4 linked regions of the Stegostoma tigrinum genome follow. The main gene of each other region encodes a partner of the protein of the gene in region 3 in a complex. Links are inferred from orthologs where the notes say so. Each region holds a gene or a part of one and is shown on either strand. Other genes may lie near its edges.

Evidence for each region.
Region 1: fbxl13 (region 3) and drc1 share a complex: the UniProt entries of both Homo sapiens proteins name them as parts of the nexin-dynein regulatory complex. The link is inferred for Stegostoma tigrinum from reciprocal best matches to the Homo sapiens genes FBXL13 and DRC1.
Region 2: fbxl13 (region 3) and efcab2 share a complex: the UniProt entries of both Homo sapiens proteins name them as parts of the nexin-dynein regulatory complex. The link is inferred for Stegostoma tigrinum from reciprocal best matches to the Homo sapiens genes FBXL13 and DRC8.
Region 4: fbxl13 (region 3) and gas8 share a complex: the UniProt entries of both Homo sapiens proteins name them as parts of the nexin-dynein regulatory complex. The link is inferred for Stegostoma tigrinum from reciprocal best matches to the Homo sapiens genes FBXL13 and DRC4.

What each region holds. Positions count from the first base shown.
Region 1 is NC_081357.1:129,135,606-129,143,487, reverse strand, and holds the start of drc1 (dynein regulatory complex protein 1), read left to right. Parts: upstream 1-4,872; 5' UTR 4,873-5,006; coding exon 5,007-5,128; intron 5,129-7,882. UniProt on the Homo sapiens protein: Component of the nexin-dynein regulatory complex (N-DRC) a key regulator of ciliary/flagellar motility which maintains the alignment and integrity of the distal axoneme and regulates microtubule sliding in motile axonemes.
Region 2 is NC_081362.1:86,343,377-86,350,695, forward strand, and holds the start of efcab2 (dynein regulatory complex protein 8), read right to left. Parts: upstream 3,005-7,319; 5' UTR 2,409-3,004; coding exon 2,384-2,408; intron 1-2,383. UniProt on the Homo sapiens protein: Component of the nexin-dynein regulatory complex (N-DRC), a key regulator of ciliary/flagellar motility which maintains the alignment and integrity of the distal axoneme and regulates microtubule sliding in motile axonemes.
Region 3 is NC_081378.1:23,973,322-23,981,129, reverse strand, and holds the start of fbxl13 (F-box and leucine-rich repeat protein 13), read right to left. Parts: upstream 3,013-7,808; 5' UTR 2,992-3,012; coding exon 2,917-2,991; intron 1-2,916. UniProt on the Homo sapiens protein: Substrate-recognition component of the SCF (SKP1-CUL1-F-box protein)-type E3 ubiquitin ligase complex.
Region 4 is NC_081369.1:39,927,622-39,934,530, reverse strand, and holds the start of gas8 (dynein regulatory complex subunit 4), read right to left. Parts: upstream 3,013-6,909; 5' UTR 2,892-3,012; coding exon 2,889-2,891; intron 1,679-2,888; coding exon 1,586-1,678; intron 1,275-1,585; coding exon 1,077-1,274; intron 1-1,076. UniProt on the Homo sapiens protein: Component of the nexin-dynein regulatory complex (N-DRC), a key regulator of ciliary/flagellar motility which maintains the alignment and integrity of the distal axoneme and regulates microtubule sliding in motile axonemes.

The sequences.
Region 1 (7,882 bases), on a different chromosome or scaffold from region 3:
TACTTAATCTCTTGTCCAAACAATTAATTATTCAGATTAACTCTTTCTGTTAGATGTATTCAGTAATATTGTACTGCCTTGAGTTTCCTTCTGATACGGAATGTTCAAGGTTGCCCATTTTCTTATTCACAATGAATTTACTGAGGAACAGGTGGGATATGGAAAAAGATGGGCCATCTCATTACACTTGGATGACAGTTAAAAGTGCATCAAGCAGTTCGGGGTTGGTCTAGATTTTTTAAAAATCTAGTGAATTTTCCTTGTCACTAACCAATTTGAGTACTATTGGATGAGATTGTGCTTTCACTTTGAGAAAGAAGTAATAATCTTAAATGTTAAAACAATGAATTTTCTTTCCTGTAAGCCTAAAATACCACTATAGTTTGTAGATGCCTTTAGGTGAAGCTTATTTTTGGAGAACATTGACAGAACTGCATAATTTGATTTAAAACTTGTGAATGTCTTAAATTTTGATCACTACCTGTTAGCTGAGATTTAACAATAAAAGTGAAATGAACTTGTTAGCTGGTTATTGAATTGATTTAAATGCAACTTTTTTCATCATCTAAAACAGCCTCGAAGACACTCTGATAGAATTGATTTCAAATTGTTTATTGCCAATCTTGGGTATTTCAAGACGTCTGTGATTTATCATACACACACTTCACTTTTTAAATTAATTTTAGTGTGGCATATGAACATCATCAGTAACAAATTTTCATGCATGTTTTGATCTCCTCTTATGTTTTAAATCTCATTTTAATTAAGACTTACTAACATTTATTTTGAATTGCTAAAAATTGGGAGGGATTTGGTCCAAACTTCTCAACCACCTCATCATTTGCATCCCTCTGTGACAGTGCAGGGCATGGGTATGCCAAAGCCTTTGTTTTCTTTGCTTGTCTGAGTTCTGATCTCTGATTAGCTGAATTTTTGCATACATAATATTTGAGAATACCCTTATTTAGGTCACCTTCCTAATTTTAAATAAAAGTTAAAATATCTCATCAGTATTACACAACTTGTGATAGTAGATGCCAACTCTAAAGTACATGAGAGTTGCCAGAAGTAACTTAATGATTTTCATAACTAAAACAAATTTGTCTGAATGTTTTGGGTGAGGAAAATATTTTGCTTTGTACAACAGGATCGCCACAAATACTTCCTTTTTCGTTGATCATAATTTGCAAATCAGCAAGCAAGTGTCATTGAATGTGATGAAAGGCACAAGGGAGGAAACTGAATAACTGCTTCACTTTCTAATTAGAGGTTCCTTCATTCGGAGGAAGACCTACCTTATTTTCTTTTTGTGGGATGACTGTTTTTTGAAACCAGAAGTTTATTCTTGGGTGCAACAAGTTTTTTTGACATGTAATATTTAATTGTTTGTCTTAATTGGTATTGTCAGTGCACTCTGTCATCCTTTGCACAATTGAATTTAATTTGCTTTTAATTGGCTTTTTGTAGATACATTTGTGAAAAAAAGTTATGAACCTCTGTTCTAAAGGGGCAGAATTTGAAAGTGCCTACATTCCAGTAGTGTTCTGGTTATGATCTTGTGGCAAACTGGCAAAACATTACCTTGTGACTTAATTATATTGTTTGTTTGTAATAGGACCATTTAAAACTGCAGCTGAATAATTAAATGATCATAGTATTCAAATTAAGGTTTTGTTTGATTACACTAATTGATTTATTGTACAGAAATATTTCACTACAACTGACCACAATTTAATCTTGTTTCATGATGACTAAATATCTAATATGCCTTGACTTGATATTAATGTTAATGAGGAAACATTTTTGAAGAGCAAGTTGGGAAATTCCTTGCTGCCTTTACTTGAAACACCCAGTCTACCTCATTTTTACCTTTTTTATTAGAATAACAATGGGATGACTGATTAGTGGAATCAGTAACCTAATGGTACTAATTCTATAAAGATCATTTAAAAAGCCCTTGCCTGCCTTTCCACACCCCCCCCCCCCCCAATCATTATGGTTTTGTTATTTTTGTAAAGAAATATTGTAAGCTGTGCACATGCACTTCATTCTAAACTCTGTATGCAGGTCTGCGTACGCACTCTGAGCAAATTTGGTGCTGAAAACCAAGTGTATGCTGATTCACAGAACTGCATGAAGCGGCAGCTTAGTACTTGTAAAATTTAATTAGCTTACTGTCAAGAAGTACAAGGCTTTATTGTGACACATTGCATGATTTTGTAATCCCCAAATGAGCTGATTCATAATCAAAATGCTAATGTACTTGTTCAAAACTCAGTAAAATAGGATTCACTTGCATTGCAACCTCTGTAAGGTACACTTTCTTGATAATTGTTCTCTTTTGGTCTATGTTTTAAGTTATTAAAAGAAAACACTTTTTTAGGTGCTGTCTTCTTCAGATGAAGTAATGATCTACATGATTAAGTACAAAGTTCACAATCCTGTTGTATGCATATTATTGCTCCCAGAAAGCTGTTTAAAAATGTACCTGAAGTAATTCATCTGGTATGCTGTGTGCAAATTTGACAGCTTTCTTGTGTCTAAGTTTTTTTTTATATTCAGTTGGTCAGATTACTGACATATCACTCACCAGTCTCATTTTTAACTGAATTTATTGAGAATGCTACATTGTCATATCTACTGGTCATTATTTCACCTGAAGTAGTGCACTAAGTACATCTCTAATGTAGAATCCCTCTTCTGCTGTGACCATCGGAATAAAAATGTATGACTGCTGTTGGATGAGGTCCAGTGGTGGTTTTTGGTTTGTAAAATGCTACCAAGTTATTTATTGTAAGGATAAACATTGAATATTTAATAAAACTGAAGGAAAAAGTGGTCTGATTTATATTGTCTCATACAATCTGATAACTGAAGTACTCAAAATTACATGATTTATTGAAAAAAAAACCCTTTTCACACCCTTTTTAAAAATTTCTTGATTGTAAAGCATGTTAAGATTTGTCATCGTGGGGAGGGGGAGGGGTATCCTGAACTTGATTTAAATAAAACTACATGCATAACTTCTATATACCCCCAACTGTAACAGATTTTACTGAACTATTCAGTAGTAATTTTCTATTAGTTTGAATTTTGTACTGTGGATGTTGTGCTCTGTTCCTGGTGCATCGCATCTTTTTTTTGCAACTGGCCATACTAATTAACAGGAGCTCTTGATCTGTAGTTCTAATTCCCATTAATGCCACTTTTGTTTTCATGGTGGAAGCCTGGGCAGGGGCTGTTAAACATCTCCTACATGGTGGTGGTCATAGATTTGGAAGGTGTTGTCTTAGAATCTTTTGAACATCTACAGTACATCTTTTTGAGACAACATATTGCTACTGAGTATCAATGGTTGAGGGACTACACTAGTCAAGTCAGGAGTGTTCCATCTCCCCTGACTTCTGCCTTTTTTGTAGATGGTGGACAGAATGTGATGAGTCAGAAGGTGATTTATCACAGTAATCCTAGCATCTGACCTGTTCTTGTAACCCCTGTTTTACGTAGCAACTGGCTAACAGTAGCCTGAGGATTACTATTGACTAATGGGAGATTTTGGACATAGTAATGCCATTGAATGTCAAGGGCTGGTGGTTATTGGAGATGGTCCAGTGGTAGTATGGCTATTGCCCAAATCTTGTTGCCTTTTGGGTATGGCCTAAATCTGCTGGAGGTGTCATGAATGGGGCTGAACACTAGTTAATAAGCATCCCTAAGTTTTTGTTTTTTTTTGGTGACTCTCCCTCCCATCCTCGTGAAGCAGCTAATGATGGCGAGGCTGAGGACGCTTTTCTCTTCTCTACTGGAGTTCGTGGGAGATGTCCTAGAGCTGAGAAGACTATCACTAACCAAAGCCTTCCTATCACGTGATAATGGGAACTGCAGATGCTGGAGACTGCTGTGTTGATCCAGCCTCATTTTATTACCTTCCTATCACGTGCTCAGTTACGACTCTAACAGTGGTATAACTTCCTCCTGATTACCTTTTTACTCTAGTTTTGGTAGGGTTCCTTTTATTAACTATCTTCCTTTGGTGTAGTAATGATTTGAAATTTTCAAAATACTAATCAAAGAAAATAGCGGAAAAGTACAGACTATCCTCAGCAGTTTGTGTTCATATGCTAAAAATGTGGTACCCGTAGCACTGCTTAATACGTCAGTTTTCCTCTTATTCTACCTGACTTCTTCTATTTTCCCCCTAGCACTATGCTGTGCTATGTCTGCCTCCAGCAGCTCCAGTTCTTGCTCTCCAAAGCCTAACCTTTTTTTTGTATAGGTGTCGTTACAAGCATCCATTTCTCCTCCCCTACCCTTTCAGAATTCATTTTATGCTGCTTTGAAGAAAGAAAATTGAGACATCATCTCCTTTACCTTCCCCTCCTTATTTCTCCCTGCCTACAACGCTTCCAACCTCTCCCCTGCACTGGACTCAAATCATTAATACAATTAATTTCCCCTATTAGACTGTACTCTTGAACTGAGCAACTAACAATTGCTATTCTGTTTAAAGTCACCCATTTTTGTCTTAGTATTGCTAATGGTCCTTTCATTCCCTGAGCGGCTCTAGGCCTGAAACGTCAGCCTTCCTGCTACACCTTTTCTTATCAGAATCTGCAGTTCCCACTATCTCTCAATAAACTAGAGCCATACAAAGTTTTTAAACAATTTTAGAATGTTGTGGGGAAGTGGAGGTGTACGTTACCTTAAAGCCTTTCTGTCAGCTCTCTAAAGGACTCGCTCATTAACCCCCCTTTCTCTTACTTCAAGCCTAAATCATTGTGGCCGGATTGTGTTGCTCTATCTCTCCGGCCAGGCAACTTGGTGACGTCACGGTCTCCTGGCGACCGCCGTCTCCTAGCGACGGGCATCAACCGTCTCCCGCAGGCCCAGCGGGGAACCGGCCGCTCCCGCTCCTTACCGTCTCCCGCAGGCCCAGCGGGTACCGGCCGCTCCCGCTCTGGTCCTTACCGTTTTCCGCAGCCCCGGCGGGAAACCAGCTGCTTACCATGTCGGACACACTTATCGTTCAAGCCAATGAATCGGCCGTCAACGTCAACTCCGATGTCGCCGAGGAGAGAATCGCCGCCCGCCGCATTCGGATTGCCCAGCGGCTGGAGGAGAAGAGACGGTGAGGGGGGGGCGGCGATGTGGGGTGGATGTACTTGGGTGTGTGTGGGGGGTGGAGGTGTTTGGGTGAATGGGTGGGCGTGTGTGTGGGGAGGGGAATGTGGGGTGGATGTGTTCGGGTGTGTGTGGGGCAGGGAGGTGGATGGGTGGGTGTGTGTGTGTGTGGGCGGGAGTGTGGGGGTAGGAGGAATACCTCTTCCAAGTGTTTAAGGATAATGGATATCCAAAGAACTGGGTCAGGAGATACCTACAGGAACAGCATCAGAAAGATTCTACATGCCGGACACACTCATCACACTGCCCTACGTCAGGAACACATCAGCAAAACTCACCACAAGACTTCCACGACTGCTGGGCATCAGAGTGGTACACAAACCCACATCAACCCTACGACAAGGGCTCACCCAAACTAAAGACCCACTCCCCGCCATGGACAGGACCAATGTCATCTACAAGATCCCCTGCAGAGACTGTGAGAAACACTACGTTGGACAAACAGGGAGAAACTAACAACAAGAGGACATGAACACCAACTGGCTACAAAAAGACACAAACAATACTCACTCATCTCAATCCACGTGGACAAGGAGAACCACCAATTCGACTGGGAAAACACCAGGATCCTGGGACAGGCTAGACAGAGACAAGCATGAGAATTCTTGGAAGCATGGCACTCCACAAAGCAGGCTATTAATAAACACATTGAACTCGGCCCCAAATACATTCCACTACGGAGAAAACCTGGAAGTGAGGCAATCCCTTGCAACGGACCCCTGAGTTTAAACGCCAGGCGGGAAAACACACTGACACTTCATCAGAGGCTGCATTGACGATGTTACCAAGCATGGTAACGAAACATGTGCAGGAGAACAAACCAGCTCGCCGAGCCAACCAACCTTAAAACGTTGGGTCTATGTGAGCCTGACTTCACACATTCAAGCTTCTTTTTTGCAAAAAAAAACAAAGCTATTTACTCACATTTCGATGCAGCAGCCAGGTTTACAACACCCTTCCCAAGAGAAACAGGACCGAGCAAATCCCTCTTAAGGCACATATCATCGCATTGCCATATCTTGTGTGTCCTTCTGATGCTGTGAACCAAATTGGTTAGGTCTACGATTATTACCTGTTGGTCTATAACAAAATATGGAAGATGAACTTAATCAATGAATGTATCTCTGCATTCAATCACTAATTCTGTTGGACCTTCCACTTCCTCTTATGAGAGGATGCTGTAAATCAAGTTACAGTTCTGGTCACCGCATTATAACAAGGATGTGGAAGCTTTGGAAAGGGTGTTTAGGAGATTTACTAGGATGGTGCCTGGTATGGAGGGAAGGTCTTACGAGGAAAGGCTAAGGGACTTGAGGCTGTTTTTGTTAGAGAGAAGAAGGTTGAGAGGTGACTTAATTGAAACATATAAAATAATCAGAGGGTTAGATAGGTTGGATAGGGAGAGCCTTTTTCCTAGGATGGTGATGGCGAGCACGAGGGGGCATAGCTTTAAATTGAGGGGTGAAAGATATAGGACAGATGTCAGAGGTAGTTTCTTTACTCAGAGAGTAGTAAGGGAATGGAACGCTTTGCCTGCAACAGTAGTAGATTCACCAACTTTAGGTACATTTAAATCGTCATTGGACAAGCATATGGATATGCATGGAATAGTGTAGGTTAGATGGGCTTCAGATTGGTATGACAGGTCAGCACAACATCGAAGGCCGAAGGGCCTGTACTGTGCTGTAATGTTGTATGTTCTAATTGTTCACTTCACACCTACGTACAGAGGACCAGCTTTAACATAATGAACTGTAAAGCTTATTACATTCGGTCATAAATATTAATTCAGTATTTATAGAAAGCATTTCAGTATAAAGAGCACAATTTTCACATTCCTTTATCCAGCTAATTGAGTCACAGAGTTCTTACAGCACAGAAATTGGCCTTCCAGTCTGACGTGTCCACAGCAGTTAACAAACCTCCATCTATTCTAATTTCATTTTCTCACATTTGGTTCATCGAAACAGTTCTTAAATGTCTCTCCTGTTTCCATCTCTACCATACTTTAAAATGGTGAGTTCCAGCTACCTCCAACCCTCTTGATGCCCTCCCCAACCCTCTTGATGCCTATTATTATTTGCTATTACCCACAGTTTTTACAGACATTGTTATTATTTTGTTTAATGTCTGTTCTGACTGCTGATAGCGTAGCTGCTGTGCTTTTAGCCTGAGTTCATGCGTCCCATTTCCTTTTGCAATATGACTGAAAATGTAACCCTTAAATAACTGAAACACTTTCAGCTCCATTGCCCTCAGCATAAATTCTGTTTTGGCACATTTAAGATTATAATCGTAAGACATAAGAAATAGGAGAAGGAGTAGGCTATTTGACCCCTCGAGCCCACTCTGCTATTCAGTAGAATCATGGCTAATTGGACACTTCTTGCCCAATTTCCTGCCTTTCCCCATAACCTTTGATTCCTGTACCAATCTATTGCTGTTCAGTTCAGCAGAAAATAAGTTTATTCTAAAAACAAGCATTTATTACCATGATAGGATTCAAGTATTTGTCTGGTTGCTGCCCTGATAATTTATATTATTAAGTAATTAATTATTATTCAAATAAGTATGTAACATAGTCACGCAGAGACAGCATGTCTTCATGAATGGGAAATGATGCCTGACAAATTTATGATAATTCTTTGTGGAGATAACAAGCAGGAAGGATGCAGGGGAGCCAGTGGATGTAAATTATTTG
Region 2 (7,319 bases), on a different chromosome or scaffold from region 3:
ACAACATGTTCTGGTCTTTGAAATAATTCCAAACTCTTCATCAACACCATTGAATGGGATAATAGTGATTTTCTTTTTGGCAAGATTATAAATCCCCACAGAAGTGACATGATAAATTGCTTTTTATTGCTTTGGGAATAGCATAGCTCTCTGTCCTTAAGGTTCTGGTCTCTGATTGTTGTTCAAGAAAGAAATTGAAAATGAATTGCATACTACCAGCAAAAGAGGGAATAAAATGGCAAAATATAAAAAGCGAATTTTAATATTTCATGTACTCTTTTCTTAATAGCAGTGTAGAAATAGTTTTTGGTAGTACAGAACCTGAACATTGCCTAAAAAGGACACATTATTTTCAGGTTTTTCATTTTGCACTCCTCAGGACAATTCACAAGAATATTGGAAAATAAGGGAAAACATTTATACTGAATGATGAGAGTGCTGACTGGTTGGCAAGTGGATTCTTGTTAGCAAAGACATTGCCATGGAGAACTTACCAGTTAGATTGTGACTGACAATTAAATGCCAAGACATGTTTAAATTTTAAATCAGGCAATATTACTCTGATTGGTCAAGGCATTTGCCTGAGAAATGAACCACAGAATGGATGTCGCCAGCATTCTCTCTAATTTTTTTTCTGACTGCATGAGCCTCCAAGCCGAATATCTGAAAGGTTTTATCAACAGGTGAAGCAAGCTTTTGAAAGTGGTATCACAAATGCCGTTCACCACTAACAGGATTCTGCCATTAAGCTAAAAAGATGTTTTCCCTGTTACACAAATGAATAATGTGGTAAATGAATTTCAGTGTCAGTGTGGTGCTAGCTATGTGGGCCATGTGTCCTCAAAGCTGGAAAATTATATCAAACAGCAAACCACTTTGGCTGTTGCAACAAATAAGACTGTAATCAACCAATCAACCAGCCCACACTTGCAAAATTCAAAACATGGTGCCAAACATTACATGTGACTCTGCAAATGGACAATATTTGCTACATGATCCTGAATGTGCAAAGAATTATACTGTCAAACATTGTAGGATCATTAGAGATAGTAGGAATTGCAGATGCTGGAGAATCTGAGATAACAAGGTGTAGAGCTGGATGAACACAGCAGGCCAAGCAGCATCAGGGGGGCTCCTCTGACGCTGATTGGCCTGCAGTGTTCATCCAGCTCTACACCTTGTTATTGTAGGGTTATTAGTTGGTTTGTGGCATATGTATGCAAACTGGAAGCTAGAGGGTGCTGGTCTTTGATGCTGGAATATGGACATACACTGTGCGCATTTCAACTGAAGAAAATAGATGATGGCCATTCTCTGGTTCATTTCTCAGGAATATGCGTTGATGAATCAGAGCTAATTTGCCTGGTTTAAAATGTAAACAAATCTTGGTAGTTAACTGTCAGTCACCATTGAACTGGCACATTCTCCATGGCAATTCATTCATTGGGAGACCATTTGCTAATCAATCAACAGTCCCCTCTCATACAGTACAAATATAGTTTCTCCATTACATTGGTATTCTTATGGATGTCACTGGTTGGTGCTAGATAAAACATTTCACAAAAGTGTCCTTCTTGGCTGTACTCAACGTGAAAATTGGGCGTATTTAAATTAAAAGTTAAATTTCATTTACAAATATGATTTTAAAAAATCAGTAAAATGGTGTTTTTAAAAGTACAGCTGCTGGTAAAACAATCAATTTCCTATAAGAATAACCTCCTAGTTAAAAATTCTACAAATCTGACATGAATTATGGCAAATAATATTCACTAAATTGTTCCGAAGAAGGATCACTACTTTAACTCTGCTTTCTCTCCACGGGTGCTGCCAGATCTGTGAGTCTCTCCAGCATTCTGTATGTTCATTGCACTAAACTGTGGCTAGTCAAGCTGGATTTTAAATAAACTCATTTGTCGCCATTCATGCATTTTTGAACAAATATAACGTTTCTGTTTATAATTCGGAAAAGATGATTTTTTTCAATGTGTCGCTCAAGTGGCAGGTGACTCGCTGATATTGATTTCAAAACACCGTGGATTTTAACGCCTCTAGCTTTTTTTTAAAAAAAGTAAGCTGAGGCTCCGCTAGTTTTAATGAAGACGTGATCTTTTTGACAGAGAGCAAAACAAATCACTAGGGGGCTACAGCTCTCCCTGTCTACAAATGATGGGTTAAAATTCTTTCCACATCATCGTCCTCTCAGAACAAAGACCAGAGGTCTCCAGCTGAGCTCCATCTTGAATCTGGGCGGAAAAGATTAAGCTGGAATTAAGCTCCGGGCCTGAAGAGTCCCTTGTTGTTGATGGGTTTTCTATGTGTGTGTCTTATGGAGGTTGCACCATCACCATCGCCATCGCCGACCTTTATCCAAGCTGCTGCTTACCTGCCGCTTCTTTGTCGTCGGCCATATTGTTTCGGATGGTTGCTAAGGAGCGCAGTTGTCAAGGCGGTTGTCAATCGAAGGGAAAGGATGGGGAGACAATGTTGGAGAAATCCCGGTCTCCCTTCTTCTTTTTGCAGCTTTGACGATTTTATATCAAAGCGCTGTTTAACAGATTCGTTGTCTGTAAAATCTCTTTCCTTTAAAAATCTGTTTGAAATCCCTTGAACTCATCGAGGTCTACTGCACAGATAAGGCCCTCTTGACCCTCGGTCCATCCACTCAAAAACAAGCCCCTACCTGTTCTAATTCTATTTTCCCAGCTCTTGGCCCTTAGCCTCGTGTGCCTGGGCACTGCAATTGCACATTTAAATTCTTCAGTGATGCAAAGATTTCTCTCTACCACCTTTACAGGTAATGAATTCCAGATTTTCAACACTCATGGTTCAATAAGGTTTTCCTCACATCCTCTAAACTTCCTGCCCCTATCTTAAATCTATGCTCCCTGGTTATTGATCCCGCCATCAAATCTACAATCTCTTATCTTTATGTCTGCTTCTTAATTGCTGTCTCTCTTGCAATTGTTTGTGAGTGCCATGGAAGGTTTCACTATGATGAAGGCAAGTTGCGTATAAATCCGAGTTGTTGATCTTGTTTTTAATCTTCTATCTTAATGCAGGGAAGGAGGGATATAAACATACATGTGTATTGAAACCCAGACCTAGTGTAGTATTTCTGTCATGATTTTAAAACAAAATGTATTTTTATCCTTCAAATTAAACAATTGTATAACGACATATCTGTACGATATCTATCAGATATATCTGTATATCTGTAACAACATACAGCATCTTTAATAACTCATCACAAGATTTTCACAGGGGCACTCTGAAACAACATAAAAAGATATTAGGGCAAGTGACCAAATTTTTCTCGGTCAAGAAGAGGTAGAAAGAAGGAGTGCCTTACCCTTAAAGAAGAAAAAAGAGCTGAAGAGACAAAGAGGGAGGTAATTCCAGAGCTTAAGTTCTTGTTAATCAAATTCTGAACCACAAATGGTGGAATGGTTAATGTCTGTGATTTTGAAATCCAGCATTAAAGGTGGGTCAAGGTTGCAGAAGGTAGTGAGGTTGAAAAAGATTACAGATATAGGAACAAATCTATGAAGGGATTTGAAACAAGAATAAATTTTAAAGTCAAGAACTTGCTTAACAGTAAACCAGTATAGATCAGTGAGTGCAAGGTTGATGTGATAACAGGATTTGGTGTGAGCTAAGATACAGGAAGCAGAGTTTTGGATGACCTCAAGTTTAGAGGGTAGTCTGTGCAAGAGAGCAGGTAGGAAAGAATTATTCAAATATAGAGATGAGAAAGGAATGGATAAGAGTTTCAACGGCAGGTGAACTCCTGAGTGATGAGTGAAAGTAAATGGTCTAAGTAATGATATCACAGTATAGTTGGAAGCTCATCGTGGGTTCTAATATAACACCAATGTTGCAAACAGTCTCATTCAGTCTCTAGAGAGGGGAATTGGGATCTTTGGCTAGGGAGTGAGGTTAGTTAGCTCATCCAGTACTAACGTAATCAAGAATTTAAAGACATAGTGGGATTGGAAGAGTTTCTGGTGAGGACAGCTGGATGTCATCAATACATCTGGAAATGAATGTGTTTTCAGGTAGCGTTGCAAACGGTATCTTGAGTAGGAAAGTTTTAAGAGAGGCCTGAGGATAGATTATTGCAGGTCACCAGAGGTAATGGTTTGAGAGTGGAATTAAAAGCTGATTTGACTTGCTGGCTGCAACTATTTAGATAAATTTGGAACCCCGTGGGTGAAGTCCCACCTGTTCACATGACAGCAGAGTCATCGGAAGAGGACAGTTAAATCAACTTGCATGGAAGTCTACAGAGAGATTAAAAAAGAAGATAGAGCATAGTTTAACATTGTCACAGTCATACAGCCCTTCACTTATAACTTTGATGAGATAACAAGGTGTAGAACACAGTAGCGCAAGCAGTATTAGAGGAGCAGAAAAGCTGATGTTTTGGGTCTGGACTCTTCTTCAGACCTTCCATCCTCAGACCTTCTATTTCTGAAGAAGGGTCCAGACCCGAAACATCAGCTTTCCTGCTCCTCTGATGCTGCTTTGTCCTGCTGTGTTCATCCAGCTCTACACCTTGCTATCTCAGATTCTCCAGCATCGGCAGTTCCTACTATCTCTAACTTTGATGAGAGTTTTTTTTGATATGGTGTGACAGAAATCTGACAAAGGAATTCAATCATAGCGATCTAGGAAAGATGGATCTTAATTTAGGAGATGGCAACAGTTCCTCAGACAGCAGAGAGGATTTAAAGGAGATGGGGACAGCATCTGAGGAGGCAAAATTGTTCATAATATTATCTTACATAGGAGCCAGGAGAGAAGCTGGGTGGTCAGCAGTTTAGTGGGAATAGGGTTGAGAAAGCAGCATGCAGTTCTACAGGACATCATGGGCTCAGAGAGGGCATGAGGAAAGATATGAGACAAATATGGGACTAGAATAAGGTCAGCTTTACAACATTTGAGAGCATCCAGCTGTGCCCCTGTAGTTTATTTTCTATAATTTCTAAACTGTTCAAATTACTTCAACTTTACCCAGCCTTTGAATTCACATGAATTGCTTACTGTCCTTTTTAAGATAACAGCTCCTCCTTAACACGTCGAGATCCTATTATCTTTTCACCATGGATTTACAAGAAGAACTGCCCAGGTCCCAGGCAGAAGAGGATCTTGTGAAAATGGCAATTAGGAACTTCATTCAAATGCATAAGGAGGTAAAGGAGCAGCAGGCAGGTGATGTGAGGCAATGGCCCTTGTAGCCCAGACGCTGAAGAGCTGCAGCTATGCTATGGAGGTCTTTGCTACCTTAAGATCGTCTGCCTGCCTCTATACATAGGATGATAGTTGCCATGAAGAGCAAGCTGCAACACTCACGGTATGCTGGATAGCATATTGGACTTGCTGTGTATCAACCAAACCATTGATCCTCAGGACTGAAGGCAAAGTCAAAGGGATCGGGGGAACCTTGACCTTAATCCAGGTGCCCCTTCCTCCAGGAGGCACCCTGCTGGAGGAGAAACCACACACGAACCCCTCAGAAGTCTTCAATGAGTACAGCCCAGAAATGCTGGGTCTTCCAGCCCAACCCCGCCTGTGCCTCTCCAACCTGTGAAAGTTTGAGTCAAGGAAGATGCATTTGCCTCTAGCAAGGACACAGTCAGCTTGTTTGGGCCCTCTAGATACAAATGCCCCCAGTGTCACCTGACCAAACCTCCAAGGCCAAATGGCTGCAGTGTAGAGCAGGCTCCCTCTACCCAGTTGTGGCACCTGACACTGCATCGAGATGTAACAGGAAGGAAAGACATGTTGATGGCCTGGGTGACATAACCCTTAATATTAAGCCTCATATTTTTCATAGATGTTAAGATTTTTGCACTAAATCTGTATGTTTCAGTCTCTGGTCTACCCATGTAGCAAAATGTCCACCCTTGTCAGAAGTTTGATGACTAACAAGACAAGCTGCCTGGTTCTGTAACTATGCTAAGAGTCATGGCAAGGCAAGAATGTTGTGATGATACATGTGAGTGTTAAATGAGTGAATATTATGAAAGCAAGTGAACAACTCTGAGATGCAGAGATAATGGGAACTGCAGATGCTGGAGAATTCCAAGATAATAAAATGTGAGGCTGGATGAACACAGCAGGCCAAGCAGCATCTCAGGAGCACAAAAGCTGATGTTTCGGGCCTAGACCCTTCATCAGAGAGGGGGATGGGGAGAGGGAACTGGAATAAATAGGGAGAGAGGGGGAGGCGGACCGAAGATGGAGAGTAAAGAAGATAGGTGGAGAGAGTATAGGTGGGGAGGTAGGGAGGGGATAGGTCAGTCCAGGGAAGACGGACAGGTCAAGGAGGTGGGATGAGGTTAGTAGGTAGCTGGGGGTGCGGCTTGGGGTGGGAGGAAGGGATGGGTGAGAGGAAGAACCGGTTAGGGAGGCAGAGACAGGTTAGACTGGTTTTGGGATGCAGTGGGTGGGGGGGAAGAGCTGGGCTGGTTGTGTGGTGCAGTGGGGGGAGGGGACGAACTAGGCTGGTTTAGGGATGCAGTAGGGGAAGGGGAGATTTTGAAACTGGTGAAGTCCACATTGATACCACATGGCTGCAGGGTTCCCAGGCGGAATATGAGTTGCTGTTCCTGCAACCTTCGGGTGGCATCATTGTGGCACTGCAGGAGGCCCATGATGGACATGTCATCTAGAGAATGGGAGGGGGAGTGGAAATGGTTTGCGACTGGGAGGTGCAGTTGTTTGTTGCGAACTGAGCGGAGGTGTTCTGCAAAGCAGTCCCCAAGCCTCCGCTTGGTTTCCCCAATGTAGAGGAAGCCGCACCGGGTACAGTGGATGCAGTATACCACATTGGCAGATGTGCAGGTGAACCTCTGCTTAATGTGGAATGTCATCTTGGGGCCTGGGATAGGAGTGAGGGAGGAGGTGTGGGGACAAGTGTAGCATTTCCTGCGGTTGCAGGGGAAGGTGCCGGGTGTGGTGGGGTTGGAGGGCAGTGTGGAGCGAACAAGGGAGTCACGGAGAGAGTGGTCTCTCCGGAAAGCAGACAGGGGAGGGGATGGAAAAATGTCTTGGGTGGTGGGGTCGGATTGTAAATGGCGGAAGTGTTGGAGGATGATGCGTTGTATCCGGAGGTTGGTAGGGTGGTGTGTGAGAACGAGGGGGATCCTCTTAGGGCGGTTGTGGCGGGGGCGGGGTGTGAGGGATGTGTTGCGGGAAATACGGGAGACGCGGTCAAGGGCGTTCTTGATCACTGTGGGGGGAAAGTTGCGGTCCTTAAAGAACTTGGACATCTAGGATGTGCGGGAGTGGAATGTCTTATCGTGGGAGCAGATGCG
Region 3 (7,808 bases):
TCACCTAATCTACACATCCCTGTATACCATAGGCAATTTAGCATGGCCAATCCACCTAACTTGCACATCTTTGGACTGCGGGAGAAAACTGGAGCACCAAGAGGAAACCCACACAGACATGGGGAGAATGTGCAAACTCCACAGTCACCAGAGGGTGGAATTGAACTCAGGTTCCTGGCACTGTGAGGCAGCAGTGCTAACTGCTGAGCCACCATGCCACAGCTATCCTGCCCAAGTATTAGCCTTTATGTTCTGTGATTTCTCAGGGAATGTCAAAGGAACCCAGTCGGCGTACAACTAGCTTCTAGCTTTTGGTTAGTGCCAACAAACATGCAACTACATGTGTATTGTCGAACAGCATTAATAAAATGATTTCTGAGTTATGTGAGAATTGACTCTTCTCCCCCTAGTCATGATCGCCAGGCTCCAACATTGTGCTGAAGTTTTTCAAACATTTTTGTCATACAGAAAAGCATTTTCATTACAATAAGACAATGTATGATGTTAGAATCTTTTCTTAAAAATTGCAAATCAAGTTTTATTACAAATCAAAGATAATGGGAACTGCAGATGCTGGAGAATTCCAAGGTAATAAAATGTGAGGCTGGATGAACACAGCAGGCCAAGCAGCATCTCAGGAGCACAAAAGCTGACGTTTCGGGCCTAGACCCTTCATCAGAGATGGTCTGATGAAGACCCTCTGATGAAGGGTCTAGGCTCAAAACGTCAGCTTTTGTGCTCCTGAGATGCTGCTTGGCCTGCTGTGTTCATCCAGCCTCACATTTTATTATCTTATTACATCTTATCAAGTTCCCTTGAAAAACTTGCCTGTAATTAAATTTCAGAAAATACAAACCCAATCCCAGAAGCAAATGAAATTCTGTCACAAAGTAATTCTAAACAGCTAGCAGTTACACAGATAATTGTGACTTCATAATTCTGAAAAGATATTCATTTGTGCTGGCTGTAGCTGCCTTATGGAAATATTCTGGCGACTATCGTGATAACATGCTCTTTCATCATTTACTTTAATTTTAACTGCTACTCACTACAAACTTAAACCAAAGAAATCAACTTAATTTAAAGAGCGAAGTTTCAAATTCCAACCCAAAGACACAAACACCAAATCTAGACAGTATTAATTCCAATGTATTACTAACAGCACTCTGAAGGTCTTGTCTTTTATGCAGCATGTAAAGTGGAGATCTTATCTGTCTTCTCTGGTGAATGTGAAAGATCCGATACTAAGTACAGGGAGGAGTGTGCAGCCGAGGTGTGACAGTACTGGATATGTGAGAGCAACATACCTGCTCCATTGCGAGCAAGGACTTGGACTACAGGTGTTGCTACATTTCATGTTCTCTGAATCTATGCTGCAGAAATCATCCGATCCAGCTTCTATCTTATGTGGATACCAATGGTGGATTGTTTCTGAAGGGATACCATATGCAAAATTCTGGATAGAAATGGGAAAAATGTACCCAAAATCACTCTACCTGTCTTGTGTGTGGCTACATGAAGCTGTGCGCACAAACAACAAGTGTCATTACATGCTAAGATTCTACCTGTCCCTGGCATTGCAAAACATGGGTTCTGGCTACGTTGTGACATAAAGCTCCAAATTGTCAAACCATAGAATATAACCTGTCCCTCATGGAAAAATTATACGGAAAAGCATGTTGACCATCAAGCAATGGTCAGCATGTAACATACTAATGACCATATGAGAAAAGGAGATAGTTGATCCTGTCAGATGGTTTCTGAGCAGAAATGTCAAAGTTATTTAGTAAGATGGGCACTGCCTATCAGATTGTTCATTCATGCATGATTGAAGTCTCTGCATTCCACGCAATCCTTCAAATGGTTGTGGTGACTAAGAGAGCATTGCAAATCTCCTTTTGGAATGTGCCCTTGCAAGGAAGATCTGGGGATAGATAGTGATTTTGTTAATGTAAATCCTGTGCAGATCTATAGTGCAGAATTTTATGTTCCACGGGTTGTTCTCAGGAGGCACATACTGAGGCAAAGATCATGATGAAAAGCACTTTCTCGTTCTGTCCAAATCCTGGTAGCATTCCAATGCAAAAAGTTATCCTCAACAGAATGTTCCATATGGACAAGTTCCAAGGTCCAGGGTTATACGTTAAAAATTGCATTAAGCTTGTAGTGCTTCAAAACCTTTCGCCTGCAGTGAAACAGGGAGCTGGTGACTTACAGGACTTCTTGGGCCGTATGCTTGCCACTGAATGCATAGAGCAAATGTCACGCGCATTGGGTTGAGACATCTAAGAATGAAACATGTTCAATGGGGGGAAAATTATAGTATACAGCATTTTCATCAGTATCCAATTCGAAATATTTTGGAATGAACCTTTGAATATTTTACGAAATTATTAGTGCAACATTAAATCTTTTTTTTCGTGATGAAGAGCTCCAAATTTTCTCCAGTGTTCTGGCGATTACTCAACCTTCAGCAATTAAATACTGAGAAAAAGAATTGGTTGTTCGGTTACACTGCGCTGTTTGTGGAATCTTACTGTGCGCCAATCGTCTGCCTTTTCCGGCCATTACAATAGTAACTATATTTCAAAAGCATTTCAACGAGTCGACCGAGAGTCGTTGGAGGCACAATACAAATGCGTGTCTTTTATTAATGTCTGAATATGTCGAATAACTATAATTAAACCTGCTAATGTGATATAAACGTGTAAGTGCTAATTAGTTGTCAGATGGCGGCAGTATAATTTAAACTTTTACGTAGGTGCTTACTTTACACTGGTTACAGTGATTTCGTTCAGTTTGCTGTGACTTTTTCCCGCATTATTTCTATCCGGCTGAACGCTGGACAAACAATATTTCCAACACACGTACCAAATGCAAAGCGGATTTTTTAAAAAAGAAAAGGCAATGAATTACCTCATAAATCTGGGGGAGTGAATGTGATTTGATGTAGTCTTTCAACACGGGATCTGCGAACTTTAAGAACACCATAGCAGCAGCTCGAGCGCAGCTTCACTGTCAGGCGAAAGCGCTCGTGAACACCGCCTGTTTACTGTCACCATAGTAACAAGCTTTGAAAAGGAAAGACCAACCGCCACCGCAACGGCTCCACAGCCAGAATTCCGTATTTAGAGATTTCCAATCTTGGTGACGGGCTCTTTTACCTTTTTAAAATTCACAATCCCTTTCAAACGCACCTACTCAACATGTATCACCCCCCCCCCCCAGGGAAAATCCACAGTTTATTCGAGATAATAAAGTGTGGAGCTGGATGAACACAGCAGGCCAAGCAGCATCTTACGAGCACAAAAGCTGACGTTTCAGGCCTAAACCCTTCATCAGAGATCAGTTTGAGAAGACTCCGACATAGTTCAAATGCACGACGTCTGTGCTATACTTCCTCGCTCAACGTTAGACGCTACGGAGGCAGATCTATAACTTGCAAATCAGTCGATTGGGATAAGTAAAATTTGAAACAAAATCCATTACTGTCCGAAATAAACTCTCATCGGCGTCTGGAGAAAATAAATTAGTCCACTTATCAGAGCCGATTTGATATATTGTAAATTCAACTTGGTTAGCACGTCTAACAATTGGCCTTAACCACAATGAAACATTTCTGACAAAAATCACGAATTAGGCAAGTGACTCCCTTTGCAGCTTACTTTACAATGCACTGTAGATGCGTAACATAGTAGCCCACCGCATGAAAAATGTCCAAATTTCCTTATTTATTAAAATTATAGTTCAACAATGACATTATATGGTAACTTTTACAACAATCCAAGTACTGGCTAACACTGCGGAAACTAACTTTATATTCCAGATTTTTTAAAAAACAGTCACAATGATGGTGATCATGAAATTATCATTGTTGTAAAAACCTATTTGATTCATTCATGTACTTTAGGGAAAGAAATCCACCATTCTTGGCTGATCAGGCCTGCATAGGACTTCAGACCCATAAAAATGGGTTATTCTCACTTGCCCACTGAAGTGACTTGCAAGCCACACAGTTTTTACTGTATTTACAGATGGGCAACAAACATCTATGAGAGAATAAGAAAAAAAGGCAATTAATGCTGTGCTTTCTATCTGTATTCATTTTTTGTACTAAATCAGCAATCTATGACTGGTAACATTTATAGAACAGACATTCCAAAAGTTGGCAAGAGGTGGCAAAATTCAATTCCACCAACACTTAGAGAAAGGTTTGTTGCAAGGTTTTCAATCAACATGTAGGAGCTCAAGGTTACAATTATTTTAAGAAGGAGACAGATAAGAAAAGAAGCATGCAATGTGTTAAGCAGTGCGGTAAAAGGCAGCTGAACTACCCAGGCTTTGTACAGTAAGGGCTCAGGGAATTCCCAGAGGAGTCGAATAGTTTTGTGTGGTGAAGGCTCCCAGACGTTTTGGGAGCAGAGCGGGCTCAGAAGAATCCACTTGCTATGAGACTGCTGAGCCAATAACTGTTGTCAAGGGAGGTAACTGGGCAACGCCCACCCGAGGGAAAAGACCTTTGTTATTCGCCTTATCTATGCCCATCATGATTTTATAAATCTCAATGATATCACACCACAACCTCCTACACTACAACAAAATCTTTATACTCTTCAAGAGATTCATTTGATCCCAGTTCTGTATATCTAATATATGATTTTTTAAAATTCTTGACCAGAAGCTCAATATCTTTATTCATCCATTGTTTCCTAATCTTACCAGTCTTGCCTTTCACTCTAACAGGTACATAATACCTCTGAACTCTTGTTATCACACTTTTGAATGCCTCCGGCTTGTCAGTCCTCCCTTTGCCTATCCCAATCAACTTTTGAAAGTTCTTGTTACATACCCTTACTCCAATTATTAACTTTAACTTCTATGGAAGACTTATCCTTAACTATTTTAAAACTAATAGTGTTATGATCATTGGTCCCAAAGTGTTCCCCTACTAACAATTCAGTCACTTAACCTGCCTTATTTCCCAAGAGAAGGTCAAGGCTTTTTTATTCATTCATGGGAAGGGTGTGTCGCTGGCCGGCCACCATTTATTGCCTGTTCCTAGTTGCCCTTGAGAAGCTATTGGTAAGCTGTCTTCTTGAACTGCCGCAGGCCTGCTGTTGTGGGTTGACACACAATGCCATTAGAGAGGGAATTTCAGGAATTTGACCCAGCAACAGTGAAGGAATGGCAATATATTTTCAAGTCAGGATGCTGAGTGGCTTGGAGGCGAACTTGAAGGTGGTGGTGTTCCCATGTATCGGCTTGACTTTTAGATGGAAGTGGACATAGGTTTAGAAGGTGCCATCTGAGGATCTTTGCTGGGTTTCTCCTTCTCTAGTAGGAATATTAAATATTGATAAAGAAAATTTTCTTGAACAAATTTAACAAATGCTTCACCATCCAAACCTTTAACATTATGGCATTCCATGTCAATGTTATGGAAAAATAAATCCCCTATGATTACAGCCTTATTATTCTTACATATATTTGAGATCTTGCTACATATTTGCTTCTCAATTTCTCTGTGACTGTTGAGGAGATTATGGTACAATCTCATCAAGGTGATCATCTCTTTCTTAATCCTAGTTCAACCCATATGTTTTCACTAAATGACCCCTCAAAAATATCTTCTCTAATTACAGTCGAAAGATTTCTCTCCACCAAAAATGTGATTTTCCCTCCTGTCTTGCCTCTCTTTCTATCCTTCCTATAATATCTAAAACGTGGAACATTGAGCTGCCAGTCCTGTCCTTCCCTCCGCTAAGTTTCTGTAATAGCTATGATGCCTTCATTAGCCTCACCTGTAAAACATGTTGCATCAAAATAAATGCAGGTTAATTCTTCAGAGTTACTTTGCTCTCTGACATGCTCTTGTCTAATTAGCTTAGAGCTTGGGGAGAAAATAAAAAAACCTTGGGCAGTTTGAGTTTGTTGAAGTTCCTTTGGTAAGGAGCTGGAATTATGCTTTTGAATGAGTAGTGGAAGGCAGTTTCATGGTTGGAAGGTGAGGAAAGTGGGATGCAAATGCAGGAAAGGATGATGATTGACCAGAACAGGAGCAATTGTTGAGGCAGTCTATGTCTGAATGATTCTTGAGAGGGAATTCCAGGGCCAGATCAGCAAGAATCCATAATTGTAACCCCTTATGACGTATAATGAGATTTGGAAACCCAGTGTGTAATTAACATCTGTAAGGAATTGTTGAGAAATCCATGGTATCTGTCTGGATTGCATTTGCTACTTGATGTTCGTTGAGGATATGCGATCAAAATAGCTTACCCCTATTTATCACATGTTAATTTTGGGTGTTAGAAATAAGCCGAACATATTGTAGATTGTATCACTATTCTAACATTGTATAGTAAAGTTTATGGTCGTTATTGTGGAGTCTTGTGGCCTTTTTCTCAGAATGAGTCCCCTGGATGTCACATATTGTCCATGTTGAAAATATAAGTTACAGGTCCTTAGCCAGATCATGACATAAACTTGACAGTCTGGAACTGGATCATAGCAGTATCATTAAGTAGCGTGCAGCATATTTCAAACTAAATGAGCAAATAAAATAATAACCACAAGTGGAATCATTGTCATACCAACATATAGAAGGTCCAACAATGGACGGTGCTGTGTTGGACATAGTTCTGGGAATCGCAGCCGGACAGGTGTTTGAGGTAGCAGTGTGGGGAGGGGAGGTATTCAAAAAGGATTTGGGGTGAGTATAGGCTCAATATGTTCCCTTTAGGGTGAAATGAAGGAGAAACAAATCCAGAGAACCCTGGACATCTAGAGATATCCAGAACTGTAGAAGAAGGAAAAGAGAGGCTTTTAGCAGGTGCATGGGAATAAATGAGCAGCAGCCATGGTGGAGTGTAGAAAGTGTGGGTGAAACTTAAAGTAATGAGGGGAACAAAAGGGGTCTTGAAAAAATATTGGCCAGTAAGGCTGGGGAGAATCCCAAGGTATTCATTAAGTATATTAAGGGGAAGAGGATAACCTGGGAAAGAGTAAGGCCTATTAGGAACCAAGAGGGCAATCTGTGCATGGAGCTGGAGGACATTAGTAGAGTATTAAATGTACTTCACATCTGTCTTCACTAGGGAAGAGGAAAATATAGGTACAGAATTCGGGAAGAGAGAATGTGTAGTTCTTGAGCATTTTGATATATGGAGTGAGGAGGCGTGATAGATTGGAAAAGGGGATAGTGTAATGACCTGAATAAAATTGTATACAGGTTGCTGAAAGTAAGCAGGCAGGTGCAGTAAGCAGTGAAGCAGCCAAATGATATGATGATCTTCATTGCAGGGAGGATTTGGTACTGGAGCAGGCATGTCTTGCTGCAATTACACAGGGTCTTAGTAAGACTACACCTGGAATTTTGTGTGCAGTTTTGGTCTCCTTATCTGAGGAATGATGTTCTGGCCATGGAGAGAATGCAACAAAGGTTAGACTGATGCCTGGGATGGTAGGATTGTTGTATGAAGATAGACTGAACTGGTTAACACTACGTTCACTTGGGTTTAGAAGTATGAGGGATGATACATACATACATACAACAAGACAGCACAGAACAGGCCCTTCGGCCCTCATTGTTGCGCCGACATCCTTCCTCTCGCAAGGAGACCAAAATCGATGGCAGTATTCCAAAAGCAGCTGAATCAATGTCCTATATGGCTGCTAAGTGATCTCCCAACTCCAATCCTCAATGCACTGACCGATAAAGGCGAGCACACCAAATGTCTCCTTCATATCCTTTCTACCGGTGGCTGTACTTTGATGGAACTACGAAACTGCACTCCAGCGTCTCTTTA
Region 4 (6,909 bases), on a different chromosome or scaffold from region 3:
ATACTGATTGTGGATGATCAGCCATGATCATAATGAATGGTGGTACTGGCTTGAAGGGCCGAATGGCCTACTCCAGCACCTATTGTCTATTGTCTATTGATATGAAACTATAAAACTATACCAAGAGAAAAAGAATGGGGATCTGAACATCTGAAAACATGTTGGCAAGATTATAACAGACGATAACGAAAAGGTCTTTTTTAATGGGTACGGTACTTTGTGAAAATGATACAAGGAAGGAAGAGGACAAAATACTAACATTGTAAGGGTTTCTATAAACTAAATAAAGGGGAGAAACTTCATCAATTGAATGTAAGTAAACAAAATGGTAATGGAGAAACTTAGACTAAACATAAAGTAAATGTCCACTCCAGCATATAAGAAGTAGCAGTGAGGAACTTGCACATGTATTAGCCATCATTTTACTATAATACTTAGATTCAGAAAATGTGCTTTTGAAATGGAAAATTACAAATGCCACTCCTTATTCAAGAAGAGATTGTAGTAAACTTGGCATTTTCAAGATTTAAGACTGAGATTGAACAAGGAGATTACAATGAACATTTTTTTGAAAATACTCAGTCTGCTTCAAATGGAGCATTATTTCAAAGTCTGGTTATTACACTTTAGGAAGGATGTGAAGGCTTTGGAGTGGGTGTAGAAAGGATTGACATGAATAATTTCAGGGAAGACAAACTTCAGTTAGACAGCTTGGAGAAGCTGGAACTGATCATTTTAAAGACAGAGGGATTTGGTAGAGGCATTTAAAATCGTAAGCGCTTACTTAGAGTAGATACAGAGAAACAGTTCCATTGGAAGAAAATCAGATTATGCCAATTTAAGGTGATTGGCAGAAGAAATGCACAACCCAAGAGTTTACAGCCTTTCAAAATATTGCAGGGCTAAGGGGAATAGCAGGAAATGGAAAAAACAGTTACTATGCAGAAAAACATACTGGAAGTGGAACAAAGGCAGGTAAATAGACCTAAGATATAGACCAATGATGATATAACTGAGTACTGAAATAAGTTTGGGAGATTGAACCAGGAATTATATTACTGAATTAGGCTCCTTACTTTAATTTCGACCTGGTGTCGTTCCTCTGCATCCTCCATTTCTCGATCTTTGTTTCTTAACTCCGACTTCCTCTCCTCCAGTTGCCTCTTAGTGATCTCCCAAAATGTGTGAATTTTGTCTCGTTCAAGTTGAAAGTAATTCCGTTCTTCTCGTTCTCTGTCAAGTTCTTCACGCAGCCGAACAATGTGTTCCTCCAACTGTGTATGGTCAATAAAGAATAATTAATTTTTCAAATGAAACCCCTGAAACATGGAAAACTTTATAAATACAGAATCCTATCACACAGCAAGTTACTTAGCTCGTCCTAAAAGAGCTATTCAATTATTGCTGTTTTCTCACACGCCTCCAATTCTATTTTTCCTCTGGTTCTTTGCTTGATTACATAAAATTCAAAGGTCAGTCACATCCTTGGACTAGCTCAAACAACCAACTTTTGGAACATATTGATCAATCTGCCACAGACATCATTTGTACATAGTCTTCACTTTCACAAAACAGATGTACTTGCCTGCTCCTTGGACATTGCCTCTGTAGAAAGGCCATCGATCACCGTTGGCGTTTTTGCTTTCTTGCCTCCTTTCCCTTTCTTCTTTTTGGGTGGCTGTTTAATGGAAAACCTTAGTTAATATGACATTCCTTTTGCAATACACAATGAAATGTAATGAAGCCTCTTAGTAAGGTTGGTAATGTTAACACTAAAACCAAGAATACACTTTGCCATGACCATACTGTTACGGGGCTGAGCAGTTTTTGCTTCTTTTCATACTTTTAACAAAAGATTGGTTTGACTTGCTGCTTGGCCTGCTGTGTTCATCCAGCTCTACACTTTGTTATCTCGGATTCTCCAGCATCTGCAGTTCCTATTATCGCTGATATTGGTTTGTCTTATACTGCCACTGATAATTTTGCAGTGTAATCAAAAATCTGTACATTTTTGATTAAATGGAAATAGTTCTTCCTGAGCAGGGGTATCTTGCTATGAACCTGTCCAGGAATCCTTCAAGCGCAGCAAGAGAAGATCATCAAAACCCATTCTGAAGTTTAAATGTCCAGCTGACATTTAGAAGGCTATTGTGAAAGGCTAAGTATGTGATTAGAATATCACATAAATGGGTGAGTGTGTAGGGCAGTCCAGATGGGTCAGGACAGGCAATGGTGTGGTGGGCTTGGATCGCTGGGTTTTGGGTCTGACGGGCCATGTTGGACATGGACGTTTTATGTCTGGGTGAGTGCTGGCTCCAGTGGCATAGGGTGATGGAGGTGATAAGAGGGGAAATGGAAAGAAAGGCAGGTAGGAGGCAGGTGGATAAAGTGTGGGGAGGTGGCAGGAGGGTAAGGCGATTTGGGAGGGAAAGAAGGAGTAGACGAGGGGGATTTGGGAGGGAAAGGAGGAGTAGACGAGGGGGATTTGGGAGGGACAGGAGGAGTAGACGAGGGGGATTTGGGAGGGACAGGAGGAGTAGACGAGGGGGATTTGGGAGGGACAGGAGGAGTAGACGAGGGGGATTTGGGAGGGAAAGGAGGAGTAGACGAGGGGGATTTGGGAGGGAAAGGAGGAGTAGACGAGGGGCATTTGAGAGGGACAGGAGGAGTAGACGAGGGGCATTTGAGAGGGACAGGAGGAGTAGACGAGGGGGATTTGGGAGGGACAGGAGGAGTAGACGAGGGGGATTTGGGAGGGAAAGGAGGAGTAAACGAGGGGCATTTGGGAGGGATATGAGGCGGGTTTGGGGGGAGGGAAAGGTGCGAATCTGTCCGCATAAGCCTATGTGGTTCTTGTTTGAACGTTTCTGCTCCATAACGACACTCACCATCTTGACGATGCCGCTGCTCTGAGCAGTTATTCCTGAACCGTCTATTTACCACCAGCACCATGGAAACGGCAACCAAATGCCGCGAGACTCGATGTGCGCTCGGCGGGGCTGGACCGGTTGTCTTGGGGGAGGGGGGGAGCCGATGGGCCAGATGGGCGGGGCATGACGCTAGCGGGGGGCGTGTCCCGAGGGAGGGGCGGAGCTCGGCCTGGGGGAGGCGGGGCTGGTCCCGGGGTGGGTGGGTCTGGAAGTCGAATTCGGGAGATGGAATCCAGTGGAAAAGGCTAGTGCAAACTGTGGATCTCAATTTGGGAAGAGGTTTGGGAGCCTTCATTATTACGGGAAAATAATCTCCTGAAGGCTAGAACAAATATCCAGAACTTTTATCGCATTAAATGTCATGTAGGGATATTTGCAAAAAGAATAACTGCAGAATTAGTAATTTATAATCATGCTACTAATAACTGATTGGATTATATGGGTTCCTGTAATAGTTACTGATATAGAGCTCTAAAGTTTAAAGGTAGATTGTGTCTCAGATTTGTAATACTTCCAGTTCTTTTTTATTTTATGGTGATATTTTAAATGAAACATAGTTTCTTGTGATCATTGGCCAGCATATATTGATAAATAAAATATGATGTGGAGGTGCCAGTGTTGGACTGGGATGGGCAAAGTCAAGAGTCACACGACGCCAGGTTATATTTGAAATGACAAGTTTTTGGAGTGCTGTTCTTTTGTCAAGTGAAGTCCTGACATATAAATAAAGTGAAGGAAGGTGATAGTAAAGGGTGACACAATGGTAAGCAGTACCAGGGGCCAGGGTTCGATTTCACCCTCCGGTGACTGTGTGGAGTTTGCACATTCTCCCCATGTCTGCGTGGGTTTCCTCTGGGTGTTCCGGTTTCCTCCCATAGTCCAAAGATGTGCAAGTTAGGTGGATTGGCTGTGCTAAATTGTCTGTCGTATGCAGGGATGTGTAGATTAGGTGGGTTATAGGGGGATGGCTTTGGGTGGGATGCCTTGAAATTTGGTGTAGACTTGTTGGACCAAAGGGCCTGTTTCCCACAGTTAGGATTCTATAGTCCACAGCCTGTTGGAGCAACAGCATTATGTATCTGAGATGGGTAGATTAATAGTCTGTAGCTACAAAGAGCACATGCTGATTAGAATATTTTGGTGGTGTCAAACGAAGAGTCACTGAGAGCCAGAAGAAAAGTAGGGAAAGGTAATCCAGGCAGGTATCTTTTAGTCCCTTGGGAGAAATTTTCTCCATGCCTTTTACGCTAGACACATTGTACAGCACCTCCCTAAAGTAGTATGGGCAATGAGAAAAAATTGTGAAGGTACGCATGAATGAAAAAAATTGTAAATTTGACATTTAAAAAGTTCCCAATTTTCCCCTTATGCTTTAAATGGTGACTTCAGAATCTCGTTACTGAGTGGAGACTTACCTTTTCTCCATGCATTTACATCTCATTAGCCAAACTCACCTAATTTTATGTCACTTCCACTTCTTCTCTGACATACCTTCATGTTGGGAATTCAGCCATGAATTCCCAACATGAAGGCCGGAAAAGATGGCAGCTGATTGCTTATCCAACTGTCATCCATCTCTGTTTTCACCACAACATGCCTGCACATTCCACAGACACTATCCACTCTTCTTCCAAACAAGTGAGCATCAGCAAACCAACCGTCTTATCACCATACTTCATTTCAGTCCAACTTACAATGCTACAGCCCTCCAGGATTTGATTCTGGAGCACAGGTACTGTTACAACTTGCATGATTCTGCAGGTCACCTTCCGTGCAAGGGCACACACATATGTAAGGAATCTAAACAAAATTCAGCTTACAGATCTTAATATCATTTCTTAGTGCTTACTTACTTTGTACTTATATACTTGGAGGCTACCAGCCTCTGTGACTTGTGTTGGTTTTAGCACATTTGTTCTTCAGTGCTCACTTGGAGACTGCCAGCCTCTCGTATTGCTTTTTGGTATAGAACAAGTAGTAGGCAGCTTGTCACGAATGAAAGCACTGAACAGTCATGGGGATGGATATGTTGCTGTACAGCACCATGCTACATCAATGTCAGACCTGCAACACATGCTAGCAGCTTGTGGGGCAACAGTACAAATGCTTCAAGTAAATGGTCATATCCGAAAGTCAAAGGGGTCTACAGTCAGGGGTAATGCCACAAAGGTCAATGGGATTGTCCAATTACAATACAGAGGGTCAGTCAGGGTCAGGGAATCTGATTCTTTGCAGTCCACGGTCAATCTTGCAGCCAAGTGGAACCAGTCTGGCGTTACAGGTATGTTTAATCAGGGTGTTGTAGAGGCATCAGTCCAGGTGGTTGACTGTACTCTGTTGGGGCTGTTCTACCAGGGTAGTTGAAGGCAAGGACCTTGGACAGTCCTGAAGGTTTGTTCCAAAATGATCAGTGGTGTTATCAGGGAGATATCCCTGGCCTTATACCTGGAGTCCTGGGGAAAGTGGAAGCACAAGTCCGCTCATGGCTTCGTTGGGATGGGTAGCAGTGAAAGGTTACAGTGAAAGGGGCACTTTGAGATAGTGTGGGATTGGATCTCAAGGCATAGGCAGGGACAGGAGCTCTCGGAAGCATGATCGCAGGGAGTATATCCGAAAACTGCTAAAACAGGATTTGCGTTCAAAAGGAATAAATGAAAACCCCATTCCAGTAGCTGTCATGGTTTCAGATCCTCTGAGTTTTAATGGCAGCAGCTGATTTCGAGGACCAACTGGGGACCTGTGGGACATTTCCCAAACCTCAACCCACACATGGATCTAGAGATCACTGATGCCATTTTCTCAAGATCACAACTGTTTATATTCTTTCACCAGGAAAGAAGTGTTAGGCAGCCCAGTTAGTGGGATTTTCCACCATTACTGATTTTGCCCAGACTGCACCCATGTTGCTTTGAGAGCATCCTACCACCAGTCCGCAGAATTTAATTAACAGAAACGGCTTCCATTCCATCAATGTTCAAATTATAGATGGCCAACCATGGTGGATTTTGGAGATCTACACAATAATCATAAAAACTTCCATGAGTATTACATATTGGAGAACTCACAGGTTCCTGCATCCTTCTTAAGTCCTTGGGCCATACGTGGATGCTTGAAGGGACATAAGGGCTACCTTCTTTCAACACCTTTACAAAACCCTCAGATTTACACAGGATAAATAAGCTGAGCTTGGACTTCCTTTAACTGTTTAACGTTTTGTTGGTTGCTTAATGTAAAGGACAGTTGGACTTTGTTACAGTGACAGTCCTGGACCATAATTGTTGCTGAATAAATGATTCATTGTCCATCTTGGAACACTTGCTACCTTTTGGCCAGCCTCACTGAACTGTGTCATCTGCTGGAAGAGCATAAAGTATCTACACATTACACATCCTACTGTGTCTTAGAGCAGAAAGCATCAGTCAATCAGACTTTATAGGAACATCATGGTGTTACAAGTTAAGTAACTCTTAAGGCTTCTGTCAATGTCCGATATCCAGTGTTGTGCTGCGAAGTCTCTCAATGATAGGCAGCAGCTTCAGAGGAATCCTGAGGCCTCACCTTTCAGCCTTCCATCATCGGTTACCATTCAACATTTCTGAATGCACAACAACCACTAGGTTACCCTGCAGTGTTTCAGCATCTTTAGGACAGTGTTGAATGTGTAAAAGGCAGTACTTTATGAAACTTTTCTTGGTAGGCCAATGAGGGAGAATGAACAAGTGAAGTGTACAGCTTACAGCCTTCCCTTGAAATACACTCCCTTGAAAACCTGAAACTTAGAAGAGCTTTTCCCTCTACAGACATATCAGACATCATGGATTCCATGCTTGTAATCACAAGGTGGGTGCAGAATGGAATGAAATATGCCATCAAGGCCCTGGGGCTATTCCTGCACATTGTGCTTCACCTTAGCATTCAAAGATCCCTTCTGTTTGATGCTACTTGCAGTCAAGAGTCAGTTACTTGTGAAAGATCAGCA